3 linked regions of the Callithrix jacchus genome follow. The protein of the gene in region 2 interacts with the protein of the main gene of each other region in a biochemical or structural test. Links are inferred from orthologs where the notes say so. Each region holds a gene or a part of one and is shown on either strand. Other genes may lie near its edges. The genes, in order: TBL1X, THRB and NCOA6.

The links.
Region 1: the proteins of THRB (region 2) and TBL1X form a complex in vitro, tested with the Homo sapiens proteins (2 studies listed by BioGRID). The link is inferred for Callithrix jacchus from reciprocal best matches to the Homo sapiens genes THRB and TBL1X.
Region 3: the proteins of THRB (region 2) and NCOA6 form a complex in vitro, tested with the Homo sapiens proteins (2 studies listed by BioGRID). The link is inferred for Callithrix jacchus from reciprocal best matches to the Homo sapiens genes THRB and NCOA6.

What each region holds. Positions count from the first base shown.
Region 1 is NC_133524.1:9,682,823-9,687,254, reverse strand, and holds the start of TBL1X (F-box-like/WD repeat-containing protein TBL1X), read right to left. Parts: upstream 2,927-4,432; 5' UTR 2,788-2,926; intron 2,306-2,787; exon of another isoform or gene 1,795-2,305; intron 1-1,794. UniProt on the Homo sapiens protein: F-box-like protein involved in the recruitment of the ubiquitin/19S proteasome complex to nuclear receptor-regulated transcription units. Plays an essential role in transcription activation mediated by nuclear receptors.
Region 2 is NC_133518.1:62,843,130-62,847,449, forward strand, and holds the start of THRB (thyroid hormone receptor beta), read right to left. Parts: upstream 2,820-4,320; 5' UTR 2,534-2,819; intron 2,532-2,533; exon of another isoform or gene 2,109-2,531; intron 1,979-2,108; exon of another isoform or gene 1,631-1,978; intron 1,423-1,630; exon of another isoform or gene 1,210-1,422; intron 1-1,209.
Region 3 is NC_133506.1:4,479,878-4,484,268, reverse strand, and holds the start of NCOA6 (nuclear receptor coactivator 6), read right to left. Parts: upstream 2,854-4,391; 5' UTR 2,659-2,853; intron 1-2,658. UniProt on the Homo sapiens protein: Nuclear receptor coactivator that directly binds nuclear receptors and stimulates the transcriptional activities in a hormone-dependent fashion. Coactivates expression in an agonist- and AF2-dependent manner.

The sequences.
Region 1 (4,432 bases), on a different chromosome or scaffold from region 2:
TACTGTTCCAATAACCAAGCATCATTTCTACCTTCATTTCTAAAGCTTCCCTGTCTCCTGAACCCGCCGCCTATCACGCCGCATCTCAATCTCTCTGATCCCATCCGCCAAGAACAAACCTCGGCAAGAAAAGGAAACAGTACCCGACTTCCTCTGAAAACTCAACATATTCTCTTTCATCTTAACTTTAAATTTGTTCCAATTCCATTTTTAACAGCTTCCAATTCACTTCTGCAACCTTCAGGCATGCAGTAGATTATCTGTAAACATTTGATGGGGATGGCCGCGCTGGAAGGAAGCCGGCTTGGGTGGCACATCCATCTGAAGTCAGGCTCTCGCTGGCCAGGCAGGCAGCAGCCCGAGTGGACTCCTTAACAGCTGCCTTTCTCCCCTGGAGATGTGAAACTCCTGTTCACAGCCTAGGCTCTGCTTGCTCTTTAGAAACCTGTGACTCCTTCAGCCCCTTCCCACATTCAGCCTTTCTTTGGGTTCCGGTAGGTTTCAAGTTTGCCAGTCTGGCCAGTGTGGTCCATTTGGTCGAGCCCCACAGAAAGTGAGGGCGGGAGTGGAGGGGCAAGACCAGTGGGAAAAACTCGAGCGCAGTCTCCTGCTCAAGAGGTCAGTTACCTCCCTCTCACTAAAAATAGTTATGGGGAAAAAGTTTATCTTTCCAACTAAAAAAAAAAGTGTTTATAATATGCCTTTAGTGTTGCTTCCTGGCTGAAACTGATTTGTCAATGCATGTGGTAGTGAAAGATTAACAACCTCTCGGATGTAGCGTACTAGGTCTTTTTGTTTTTCCTAAGGGAGAATAAAAAGCAAAGCAAGGCAACAGGAAAGCAGCGCAAGGATGGTCTTGCCTGGCTGGGCAGAGAAGCTGTGATGATCGGCTAGGCCTGGAGGCCCACAGGACAGTGCTGCAAGGCAGTTTTGTAGAAAACTGGGAAGGGGCCAGGCCCAGGTTCTAACGGAGGTGTTCTCTTACCCAGCAGGAGTGGATCAGAGAATCTGAATTCCTGACACTCACGACCTGCTGGAGATGGCCTCTGCTCATCACCTTAAAAGGTGAAAAAAAGCTTCTAACTAAGAATGATGCACAGAACCAGTGGTACTGATATAATTGATGGGAAAACTCCAGAATTTGAAACATTCACTTCTAAGTGTGTCTACAATAAAGTTATTATTTTTTGCAAACTGTTTCCTCTTTAAACTACTGGCAGGGAGAAGTTCTCTGAGTCCAGTAAAGGGGCAAAATACCTGCGGGTGGGGAAGCGAGGGTGTCTGCACTACGCCACACATCTCCATGTCAGTCCTACAGGTGTGTGTATTCCGAAGGGCTGGAATCGCCTTAAGAGCCGGTGATCCAGTGGTGAACAACTTTCGTTGTTTGTATGAGTTACGCAGTTTGGTGGCTTTCCACAAAAATCTGCAGCACACCTGAGACATGACAACCCTTTAAAATAAGCATGTCATACTCAACATTTTTCTAGATTTTATTTTCCTAATTGCATCTTTTCTAGGTAGGACTTGTAAACTTTTCGTAAAATGGTCAAGAGCCACTTTCCGACACCAAAGCCATGGCCCGGGACCTTAGCAGGGAGGTCGCCTTCCAGGTTAAACCAGGGATTCGGCGGCGTGTCAGGAGATGGAAAACATCCAGAAGGCAGGTCAAGCCACACATGACAATGCAAAGCAGAAACAGTTGCAAATACAATAGAGGGTGGGTTTCTGTTTCTTTTTAGGTTTTGCTCCAGAACATCACTGACTGACTCGAAAATAAACGATGGTCCCTACCTTTGTGGAACGTCCAACGCAGCTGGCTGGGGAAACACGAGGCCTTGCAGCGAGCGAGCCCTGGCCCCAGTATGACCGCGCACAGGCGATGCACGTGAAGTCCAGGCCCTTTACCCGCACTAGCGGGGCTCCAGCGACCCACAGTTGTCACAGATCCGGCCATCCCCGACTCCCGAAGGCACACTCCCCATACCGCACTCCGAGCACCGGTCCCATCCTTAGATAAAGTCCCCCGCAGCAAGGCTAGAGCTCCGGATCTGCGAGACCCACCCGACCCGACCCGCCAGAGCCCAGGAGCAGCAACAGGTCTGCGCTCTCCCCGGGCGGCGCTCTGCAGACCCTCGACGGGCCAGGGGTGCCCCCAGCCCGGTCGTGCGCTCGGGCCGGGGAGATGGGCAGAGGACAGGGACTCCCGACTTCCTTGACAGTTTCTGCGCTTCAGAAACTGAGCAGACGCGGAGCCCGCGCCTCCTCACCAGCCACTCGCCCCACTCCGCGCAGCTGCGCTTCCAACCGGGTGCCGGCGGGCCGGCCCGCGTAGCGGGGATGAATGGGGCTCCCCTCCCCAACAGGGGGAAATCCCGCTACCGCCCTCCACCTCGGGCCCCGGAGCCCACGGTGGCGCAGGTTAACCCAGCAAGCCTAAGGATCGGCAGACAAAGAGGCACCATAGGAGAAGCGGAGTGCTTCCCGAAACTTACCGGCCGCCTCCCCCTCCCCAAAACAAAGGAGCCCCCAGCCGACCTCCGTCTCCTACCCCCACTTTGGGGAACCGCCACCTCGGGGTATTGTTCAGTCTCCGGGGAGCGCGCCGCACACCAGTCCGAGCGCCGCGGGGACAGCTGGCGACCTGCGCCTCCAGGAGTTCCAGGGGCGGGAGGAGCGTCGGGCTCCCCGAGCCTCCGGCAGGACCCCCGAGGGTCAGCACGGAACCCGCCTCCCCGCAGAAGTTTGCGGACCCAGCGCCCGGCCCGCCGAGCCCCGCGCACTCACCTCACCGCGAGCAGCGCAACTTGTGGCGGCGCCGCGCGCCGGTCTGCGCTCCGAACCTCCCTCCAGCAGGCAGCCTCCGAGCCCCTGCCGTGTGGCGGCCGAAGAGGGCCCGGCGCCCTGGAGCAGCGGCGCGCCGCCCCTGGGCCGCCCCCGCCCCGCCGCCGCCGAGTCCCTGAGAGGGCGCGGGCGCTGGAAAGTTTCGGTGGCGAATGGCGGCCGGAGAGAGCTGCGGCGGCGGCAGCGGGGCGGGGGCGCTGGCGGCTCCTCGCTCCCAAGCGCGGAGTGGGGGCGCTGAGGCGGGCGCGGCGGCGGCGGCGGCGGCGGCGGCGGGAGAGGGCGGGACGGCGGGAGGGAGCGGGACGGCGAGAGGGACTGGCTCGGGCAGTGACCTCCGCGGGGAGCGGCTGCGAGCGCGCGGACTCCAGCTGGGAGGACAGCCTAGGGGGCCGCCCCCGCCGCCGGCCCCTCCCTCGCGGCCGTGGGAGGCGACCCCGCGTCCCACCCGGCCCCGCCCCTGCGCCCCGGGGGGGCCGCGTCCCGAGCCAGCCCCTCCCCCACGAGGATAGGGACTCCAGCCCCGCCCCTCCCCCACTGAACCTAGTGGGAGACCCGCGTCCCAACCCAGCCCTTGCCCCTGGGTCGGGGGACTAGCGTCCCTACCCAGCTCTCCCCGCTCCCCCACGCCTAGGGTGGGTGAGGGGAACCCGGGCCTCTCCCTAGTTGCCGGGGCCCGGTCCCTTCCCCGTGGCCCCCGTGGGACTGAGAGGAACCCAGGCTTACCCTCATTCCATCCCAAACCCAGCCTTTCCACGACTGCCTGGAGAGGACAGGAACCTCGGCCACCCCCTCGGTTTATAGCGGGCAGGGGAACCTCGGTCACTGCTAAAGTGTTACCCTCCCCCATCCCAAAAAGGAAGCAACCCGGCTTCCCTGACAGAACCCCAGCCACCTGCCCGAGGGTGTATCTACCTCAAAATCGGCGTTTTAAAAGACACCCCAGTTATCTTTCCCCACCTCAAGAAGTGGGGACTCCGGCGGAACCTCCACCTTTGCAAAACACCTCCCGGGAAGAGCCAGAAATGCTTAGGGACAAACTCAGACCCCGTCAGAGTGGCCGGAGCTCAGGGGTGGGGGCTGAGGAGGAGGTTAGGGGACCTGGGCCAGCGGGCTTCATCACCCCCACCCCCAACCTTAGGCTTCAGCCCTCGGGCCCTTGCTAAGTGTTTGACGTAACGGCTTACACTGCCTGGCCCTGGTGCACCCAAGTCCCCAGCGCTCCTTCCTCCCCTCCACCTTGATGTCGACTCCCCACGACTCGCGACCTTAATTCAGTTAAACAGATCTCCGCTCCCCCTACCCAGCACCTCTTGGGTCAGCCTTGTTGAATATTTTTCAAATAAGTTTGCCCCTTCCTTTACTACATAATAAGCTTCGTGCTAAGAGCCCGGTACACTCAGAAGTATAAACTATAAACTCACTTGCTCTTCCTCGAACACTAGACCATTTGTTGTTCTGGTTGTGGGGGGAGGGGGACCCGAGGTGAGGTTTTTTGTTTTTTGTTTTTATGTAGTCTGGCAGTGTTTCGCACTGTCACCCAGGCTGGAGTACAGTGACACGATCTCGGCTCAATGAAACCTCCACCTCC
Region 2 (4,320 bases):
TTTCTTTAACATGCACAAATAATAAATGATTGTTCACCAATGCCTTTGTATGAAATACACCAAACAAATCACTTGGTACTGAATTTGTTTGACTCAATTAAAACAGCCACCTAGCATGAAAACATCCTAAAAACATCAACTGCTTCAAATATTTAGCACTGAAACACGTTTTTCATTGTTTCCTAGCCTCTGACTTATTTCAGAATTAGAAACAATTAAGCAGAAGTGAATTGGGGAGCAGGTCAGTCACTGGATATTCAGAATGAATCATGAACATGTTGACTAAAATGCAATTTTTATTTCTTTGTGTGCAGTGCATGCTACACATTCTTACAATTAAACTGAACTAAGGCTAAATAATGTGAAGATTGGCCAACAGGTCTACATTACCAATGCATTTATCATCATATAAATTGCTCTGCTTGGTATTAATACCCTGTGTAAGCAATGCTTAATTTCTTGAACTTCAAAACAGGTCTTTAAAACTGAATCTGACTAGTACCCAAGACCAATAACATGCTGAGGAAGAATGTATTTCAAATGCGTTTACTGATTACGCAGTGTTTGAATCTTCAAAAATCCTAACTGTATGTGGAGAAAGGAGAACGGAGAGTCTGAACTTGGCTGTTCAGGTAAACTCTTCCCTTTCTTTGACTCACTTTATGAATTATTATGCTTCTAGATCCTTCTTTTAAAATTTTCCATTTGGGGAAACTTGTACATTTAATCTTAAAAAAAAAAAACTCATCTCATATCCTCCCTCTCCTCTCCTTAAAATAAATTAGAGGGCTTAAGAATTAGCGCTAATAATAACCCCACAATGGTCATTGGGAAATCCTCCCCCCAAAATGACAACTGCCGCTAACAAGGACAAAATCCACTAAGAATGAAAATTCCCCAAATGAGTCCTTCTCCGAGGGGGTGGAGGTCACACAGCTGGCAAAACTGGTATCACAACCAATTCGAGGCGACCCAGAGGAAGATGCTACGCCAAGAGAAGCAAAGCAAAGGAGCGCGACCCAGGAGGCTAGCAAAATCCCAGCCGAGCCCCCAGGAGGCGGAGAGAAGCCCAGTCGCCAGGCACCGGCCACTGCGCACGCCAACATTCAGGATAATTCTCCTTTCCAAGCCCCAGAGTTCCGGGGCAGGCGAAAAAGGGGGGATGGGAGACCCACAATCCCTTTAACCCTCCCCCCTGTGCCTGCAAACCTTTTCCGAACCCCCGTGTCACACAACTTCCTCATCACGGAAACTTCCACTGGGTTCGGCGCTGAGGATGCCAAACTCCATTTCACAAGGAACATGTCAACAGCTGGGCTTGGGGTTTGAGGAACAGAGCCTCTGCGATTGGAGGGGGCCCCCAGCCACCCTGTTCCACCAATGTCCACACTGTGGCTCGCAGCCTGCCGCCGCGCAGTGCCCGAACACGAGAGGGCACCTCCTCCCAGATCCGGGGCGCAGAAGCCCCGCGGAGGCAGGTAATCGGGCTAATGACACCCCCACCACCCACGCCCGCCCGCCCGCGCGCGCTACGCTTTGCTGCCTGCACCCCTCCGGGTTCCTGCGACACCCCGTCACCATCCCGCCCACCCTGTGGACAGTTGGAACTGTCGCCCCCTCCTCCCCTCACCCCGCTGCCTCCGCGCTGTCCTCTAGACAAATTACCAGTGCCCTGGAGCCGGTTGGGTTGAGCGCCCCTGACAGGGGAAGGTAGCCTGCGGGCCCTTGCCCCGAGCCCGCGGAGCAGGAGGTCTCTTTTCCAAGCGCACTCACATTATTCATGCAAAGTTAATCCCCGCCGCGTCACGGCCGCCCGCCCGAGGATGTGCGCCTTCCTTGGCCAAGCCCCGCAGTCTCCACCCTCCTCCGCCCCCTCCTCCCGGCGGCGGGGTCCCGGGGAGCGCCGGCGACTGGGCGTCGCGCGAGTCCTGCAAAATGTCAACTCCTTGGGCGGAGAGGCGGCCGCAGCCAGGGCCGCGCTGGACCTCCCCGGTCTCTCCACTTTTATAGGCGTAGGAAGAGAGTGTGGCCGGGGCACCAGAGTCCCCGCCTCTCCGGGTCCCCCGCGTGCCCGGCCCGCCCCGGCCCGCTCCCCAGACGCTGCTTACTCTGGGCCCGGGGCGCCTGCTCCGCGCCGAGTCTGCGAACCGGTGACCTGGTTTCCCTTCAGCCCTCCCGGCGGTCCGACTCGCGCGGCGGCGGCGGCGGCCAAGAGCAGGCAAACCCGGCTCCGGCAGGGGCGCAGCGAGGAAATGGCCTCCTGGCCGCACACCCCGCCGCCGCCACCGCCCCGGGCTGCCCGGCCAGCACAGACGCCCCCTACCAGGCTCGGGGCCCGCGCTCCGACGCGCTCACAGCGCCGGGCTTGTGGACCCGGACCCGGACACCCGGCCCTACGCACTCGCCATTCCGGGGCCGGCTGCTTCCGCACCTGCCTTCCCAGGTGTCGGCGCTTCCCCTTCTCCTAATCCGGGCCGTGCCCTCCCAAGTGTGGTGAAGGTGCTGTGGGTTTGGTGGCCGCGTGTCCACCCACCCGATGGCCTGCGCGCGTAGGTGTGGGTTTGGTCGTCATCACTCTAGTTGGAGAAGAGGAAAGAATGGGGGGCGAATGACACGGGACCCGCGGGCGAGTCTTCCAGGAGCACGCTCTGGCCTTCTGTGCCCTGCCCGACCGGCGCGACCCGTGCCACCGCGCTCCTCCCTCCGCTCTCAAACCACTTGTGGCGCGTGTCGGGAGGACCCGGCGTTCTGGCTCCTGCTCGGGCCTCCTCAGGCCCGGCCATCTGGCGGCTCTCTCACCACCACCGCCACTCGAGAATGGAAGTTTGGGACATGCCTGGCTTGCCCTTAAGAAGGACACCCCCACCTCCATAATGCATATCGTGGGAGAGGTGCGTTCAGGGCTGAGACACTTCACACGTCCCAGAAGGGCCGCCCTATAAATTTGTCTTTGCCCTGGAAATGTACAGATAAAATCAGAAGACAAAAATAATGTATACTTTTGAAGAAAGAGTCCTTTCCTGGGCTAATATAGGTCTTTCCAATGCCCTGACCTTAAGTCCTGGATGCCAGGAAGAGACTTGCTTTCTGAGCTAGAAGGATACTTGGAAAATACCGAGTCGCCAGACAGCGAAAAGGTAGTCAATAAGAAACTATAGTTGCAACAAAACTACTTTGACAACAGAGTACAATTCATTTCTTATAGACGATATTAAAATAATTCCGACATCATAATTTAATATTCACATCTATTCGTGTAACACGCAATGTAATAGAGCTATGACGATATGGATCCTCAGCTGCTTGACAATGTGTAGGGTATTTATTGGAGGACTTTCTAAATTTCCAGTCAGTGACCTGTGTGTTTTATTTTCGCTTCTTCTGAGTGTCCCAGGGAAAGGGGTGAGAGGCTCCCCCCACCCCTGCCGGCAGTCTTAACAACCACTCTCTTGGATGAGCAGGGTTTCACTAATGTACTTCTAAGAAGGTTGCAGGCCCCAGACACGCCATTTCCCTTTGGTCCTCAGTGAGAAATCCGCGCTTTCTTCTCTACTCTTAATAAGGCTGCACCATAGGACTTGCCGGCTTCTGTAGCTGGAGAGCTGTTCTGCTTTGCAGGGAAGTTCCTGGGCTTTGCTCCAAAGCTGCCCCGGAATGTTTTGGTTGGTTTGGAGGAAAGCTGTGGCGTCTACACCACTTATTCCAAGCAGGCGGCCCCCTGGTGGCTAACTGTGGGTGAAAAAGTCGGCCACTGAGGAAGAAGTCTGGCACAGGTAGGCTCCAACAGTTGACAACCTAGTCTCCGGGTCGTCACAGCCTGTGAACAATTTAGTAATACAGGGAGATGAGGTGAAGCAAATCTTCCTTCAACATGGTGGATTACAGGCCTTTCGGCCTACTGGAACTTCTAATTTTTTTCTCTTCCTGAGTATAACTTGGGAGCTAAATTCTTTAAGAAGGATACATACCAAGGACGAAATATAACAAAAACTGTTGCTTCTCTTTGTTCGAGGGCTTTGCCTTTCTGATCTCATTTTGCCTAAAAATTTCAGAACTAGAGAGCCAATTAAAGCGTGAAATAAATAACAGGTGTGGAATTCAAACAATTCATGAGACTGTGGTGGTAACAATGTTATATAATAATGGGGGAGGGCAATTTTACTGCAATGTTACTGAAACAACGTGAACTACTGGGGTTCCATTTGAACAGGACCTCTGAGGGTTGTCCTGCAGGCTGCATGATGGTAAAGAAGGGTTACCAACGTATCATGGTGTTTATTTTACGCAAAGTAGGACAATGGAGGAGAATGACATGAGGAC
Region 3 (4,391 bases), on a different chromosome or scaffold from region 2:
AGCAATTCTCCTGCCTCAGCCTCCCGAGTAGCTGGGACTACAGGCACACACCTCCACACCCAGCTAATTTTTGTATTTTTAGTAGAGACGGGGTTTCACCATGTTGGCCAGGATGGTCTTGATCTCTTGGCCTTATGATCCACCCACCTCAGCCTCCCAAAGTGCTGGGATTATAGATGTGAGCAACCGTGCCCTGCCCTCAAATATCTTTATATTATACTACAGTTGTTGCATATAATCTTAAAGTACCCTTTAAGCGCATCATATCTTTGAAATTATAATTATCGGATCCATCACTAAATATGATTTCTTAATGTGCTGATAAACAAGTATATGCATATTAGATTTTTATAGTGTAGTAATTGTATTTCAATATAATTGGTGTTCCTTATAATCCAATGTATTTTATTTTATACAATTAAAAATATTATTCTGAAAGGGGTCCATGGCACAGATAAAGTCAGGTCTTCCAGCATTAGAAAAACCCAGAAAAGGCTCACACCATGGTGGCTCACGCCTGTTAATCCCAGCACTTTGGGAGGCCGAGATGGGCAGATCACTTGAGCTCAGGAGTTCAAGACCAGCCTGGGTAACACGGTAAAACCCCATCTCTACCAAAAAGAAAAAAAAAAACAAACCCAGAACAAATGAATTGTGTTACTGTATATACATATGATATTGACGATCTTATTTTATATATAACCCTTTTGTTCATTAATTCTCTTTGATTATATGGGGCCCTGGACCTATTTTTCATGACTGATTTGCATATTTCCTTCAGACCCATAGTCCATGCAAACTTTGAATTCTTCTCTCACAGGATCCAACTTCGATGAACACAATATAGACTCTGGGTCTCTACCATTGTTCACTTTTCTTTTTTAGGATTTTGTGTTCCTTTATGATAAACACCTAGAAGAGAAGGCATCTCTTTTTTTAAGACAGTATCTTGCTCTGTCGCCCAGGCTGGAATGTCATGGCATGATCACAGCATGGCTCATTGCAGCCTTGACCTCCCAGGCTCAAGCGATCCTCCCACCTCAGCCTCCTGAGTAGCTGGGACTACAGATACAAGCCACATCAGATGGCTAATTTTTTGGCCTTTTTTGTAGAGATGGGGTCTGCCAACTCCTGGGCTCAAGGAATCCTCCCACCTTGGCCTCCCAAAGGGCTGGGATTACAGGCATGCGCCACTGTGGCTGGCCGGAGCATCTCTAAAAACTCTAGAAAGTTAGAAAGTATCAAAGATAACTTCTTTGCACAATTAGAGACGAGCCAGGAAATACCAAGTAACTGTATTCCCTTCGGCCTTTGCATTGCCAAACTCATTACAGGAACAAAACAAATTTAATTGTTCTCTGGTATATACTGTTACGCTTCATTTCTTGTTGTTTTTGTTTGTTTGCTTCTAGTTTCATCACAAGAATGTTACGCTTCATTTCTTAACACCTTTCTCCCAACCAGCAAATTCCTTTAAGGAAATGTGTTTAAACCACTTCCAGTAGCCCCTCTGCCACTAACTTATAAGATCTTGAGAAGTCAACTTTACCTTTCTATGTTTCAGCTAAAATCACTACCTGAGTTGAAATCTTTACTTGATCTCTCAGGTCTTTGTAGTTTTTATACATTCACTCTTCACCATTTTACTGGCTTCAATAACGCCTTTCTGATGACCTCTCCAGGTGACCCTGCTCTTAAGCTGTGGGCTGTCCCATTCCAGGGAAGACACCTTGGGTCACCGCCCCCAAACAGGCGGGTTCCTCCTTTTAAAGACACACACAACTCCCAAAGTTGATGTAGGTTTTCTCCTTTCTTGCCAACCAGTTCTACTCTCTGTACCTCTTTTGCTGGCCAGCTTGCACCCAAACCTCAGTCCCCCTGTTCTCTCCTCATCAAACACCTTTTTCCTGTTGCTTCCCCCAATAGGGGGTGGAGGATCCTTGGGACAGAAGTCTTCAGAGCCTTGTGAGTTACACAGCTTTGCAATTCAGTTCCACTACCCCAAGGACTGCCCAATCTGATACCAGCGTCTGGATCCAAAGGGCCCTCATTTCTCATCAATCGCCTCCGTCCTTTCCCGCAAAGAACTGTTCCAGCCCTGACAGCCTGAGCCTGACCCCAAGCCTCCACCCCAATCCCCAGATCCTACCAGCACTAGGGCTCTCTATACACCGCCTAAGGCCTAACCCAGTTCCACGTCCTGCCATCCTTTCAGCCCTTGGACCCCAATCCCGGTTCCTTTCGGTCCCGGTGTTCCTTCTCGGCGACCCTGACTACGACCCCACGACCCCACGACCAGCTCCCGCCAGTTCCCCAGGCCTGAAGCGCCACCCCGTGCAGACCCCAGCCAGCCCTGCACTCCCTCAGTGCACCGGCCCCCGCGCCCAGCACCCTCCCCACCCCGCCGGGCCACCGCTCCCTCCAGCGCCCCCGCCCGCAGGCCTAGGGCCCGCTCCCCAACATGGCGACTGGGACACCAGCGCGGCGGGCGGGGCGGCTCCGGGCCGGGCCCACACTCGGACCGTGCAGCACGGTCGCCGGGCGCCATTTTCCCGCGCCGGGCCCGGGCGGCGCCTCCTCCCAGCAAAGCCAACCCGACCCGGACCGCGGACGCCCGGCGGGCCCACCCCTTACGGGCCCGCGCCGCCGTTGCCTCACCTGAGCGCGGCCCCGGCCCTCCCGGGCGGGCCTTGGAGCGCCGGCCCGGGCCGTGCGTGCCCGCCGCCCTCCGTGCGTTCGTCCGTCAGTCCTCGCGTGCGCCCGTCTGTCCGGCCACCCGCGCCCGGCCGCCCGCAGCCCGACCCGGCAGGGCCTCACGGAGCCGGCGGGGAGGGGGATGGGCCGGACCGGGCCGGGGAGGGAGGGGGAGGGAGGGAGAGAGGGAGGGAGCGCGAGAAGGGGCGGGGCGGACTCGAGGGGCGGGGCATCGCCCATGTGACCAGACGTTCCCGGGAGCGCGAGGTGGAGCGCGCGCCAGCTCGCTTCGGTGCTGAGTGCTTAGTGCGGGTGTATCGTGGGTCTCTGTCGACTTCCCAGGGCTGTTCTCCCGCCAGTGAGTCCCACTTCGGAAGCACACACGGCACAACGTTTTGCGAGCGCTCTGGCTAAGTACCCTTGGACGTGGCAACTCCAAGCCTCAGTTTACCTATTGAAATATGGAGAAATTCATAGTGCTTGTTGAAGAAGAAATGGCGGGGGGCATGGAAAGCACTTATCGCAGTGCCTGACACATACTGTCTAATAATAAGCTTAATGGGGATATAGATAGAAGCTTTCATTATTAGTTGCCTCCAAATCCCTCTCTTCTTTTTCCCATCATTACCTCCCTAGCAAGCGAAATGCTCAGTTAATAGAATTCTTGATCGAACAAGTGAGTGTGGCCCCTCCCCTCTTCCCAAATGTAGAAAGGCCTCCTCAGCACTGGACTTGATGTCTGTCATTCAGGCCTGCATTCATATCTGGCTTTCACTCTTTTTTTAAATTTTTTTGTTCTTTTTCCCACACTACACTGATGTATTTTTTTAATTTTTGTGAGTACGCAGTAGGTGTATATATTTATGGGGTATATAAGATTTTGATACAGGCATGCAATGCATAATAATCACATCATGGTAAATGGGGTAAATGGGGTATCTAGCACCTCAGCATTTTTTTTAAAAAAGATGGTGTTTCACCATGTTGGTCAGGCTGGTCTTGAACTCTCGACCTCAGGTTATCCACCCACCTCGGCCTCCCAGAGTGCTAGGATTACAGGCATGAGCCACCGTGCCTGGCCGCACCTCAGCATTTATCTTTGGTGTTACAACCCAGTTATATGCTAGTTATTTTAAAATGTGCAGGTAAATTGTTTTTTTACTATCATCACCTTCTTGTGCCGGCAAATACTATGTCTTATTCATCTTATTTTTTGTAACCATTAATCATTCCCATTTCCCAGCCACCTCCCACTAACCTTCCCAGCCTCTGGTAACCCTCCTTCTACTCTGTATCTCCATGAGTTCAATTGTTTGAATTTTTTGCTCCCATAAATAAGTGATCACATGGGAAGTTTGTCTCTCTGTGTCTGGCTTCTTTCATGTAACAAGGACCTCCAGTTACATCCATATTGTTGTAAATGGCATGATCTCATTCTTTTTTAATGGCGGAATAGTATTCTATTGTGCACATGTACATTTTATTTACCTATTCATCTGTTGATGGACACTTAGGTTGCTTCCAAATCTTGGCTATTGCGAACAGGGCTGCAGTAAACATGAGAGTGCAGATATCGCTTCCGTATACTGATTTCCTTTTTTTCTGGTGTATACCTAAGAGTAGGATTGCTGAATTGTATGGTAGCTCTATTTTGGCTTTTGCTCTTGATAGCTACCCTTCCCTCTCTGAACTTCAGC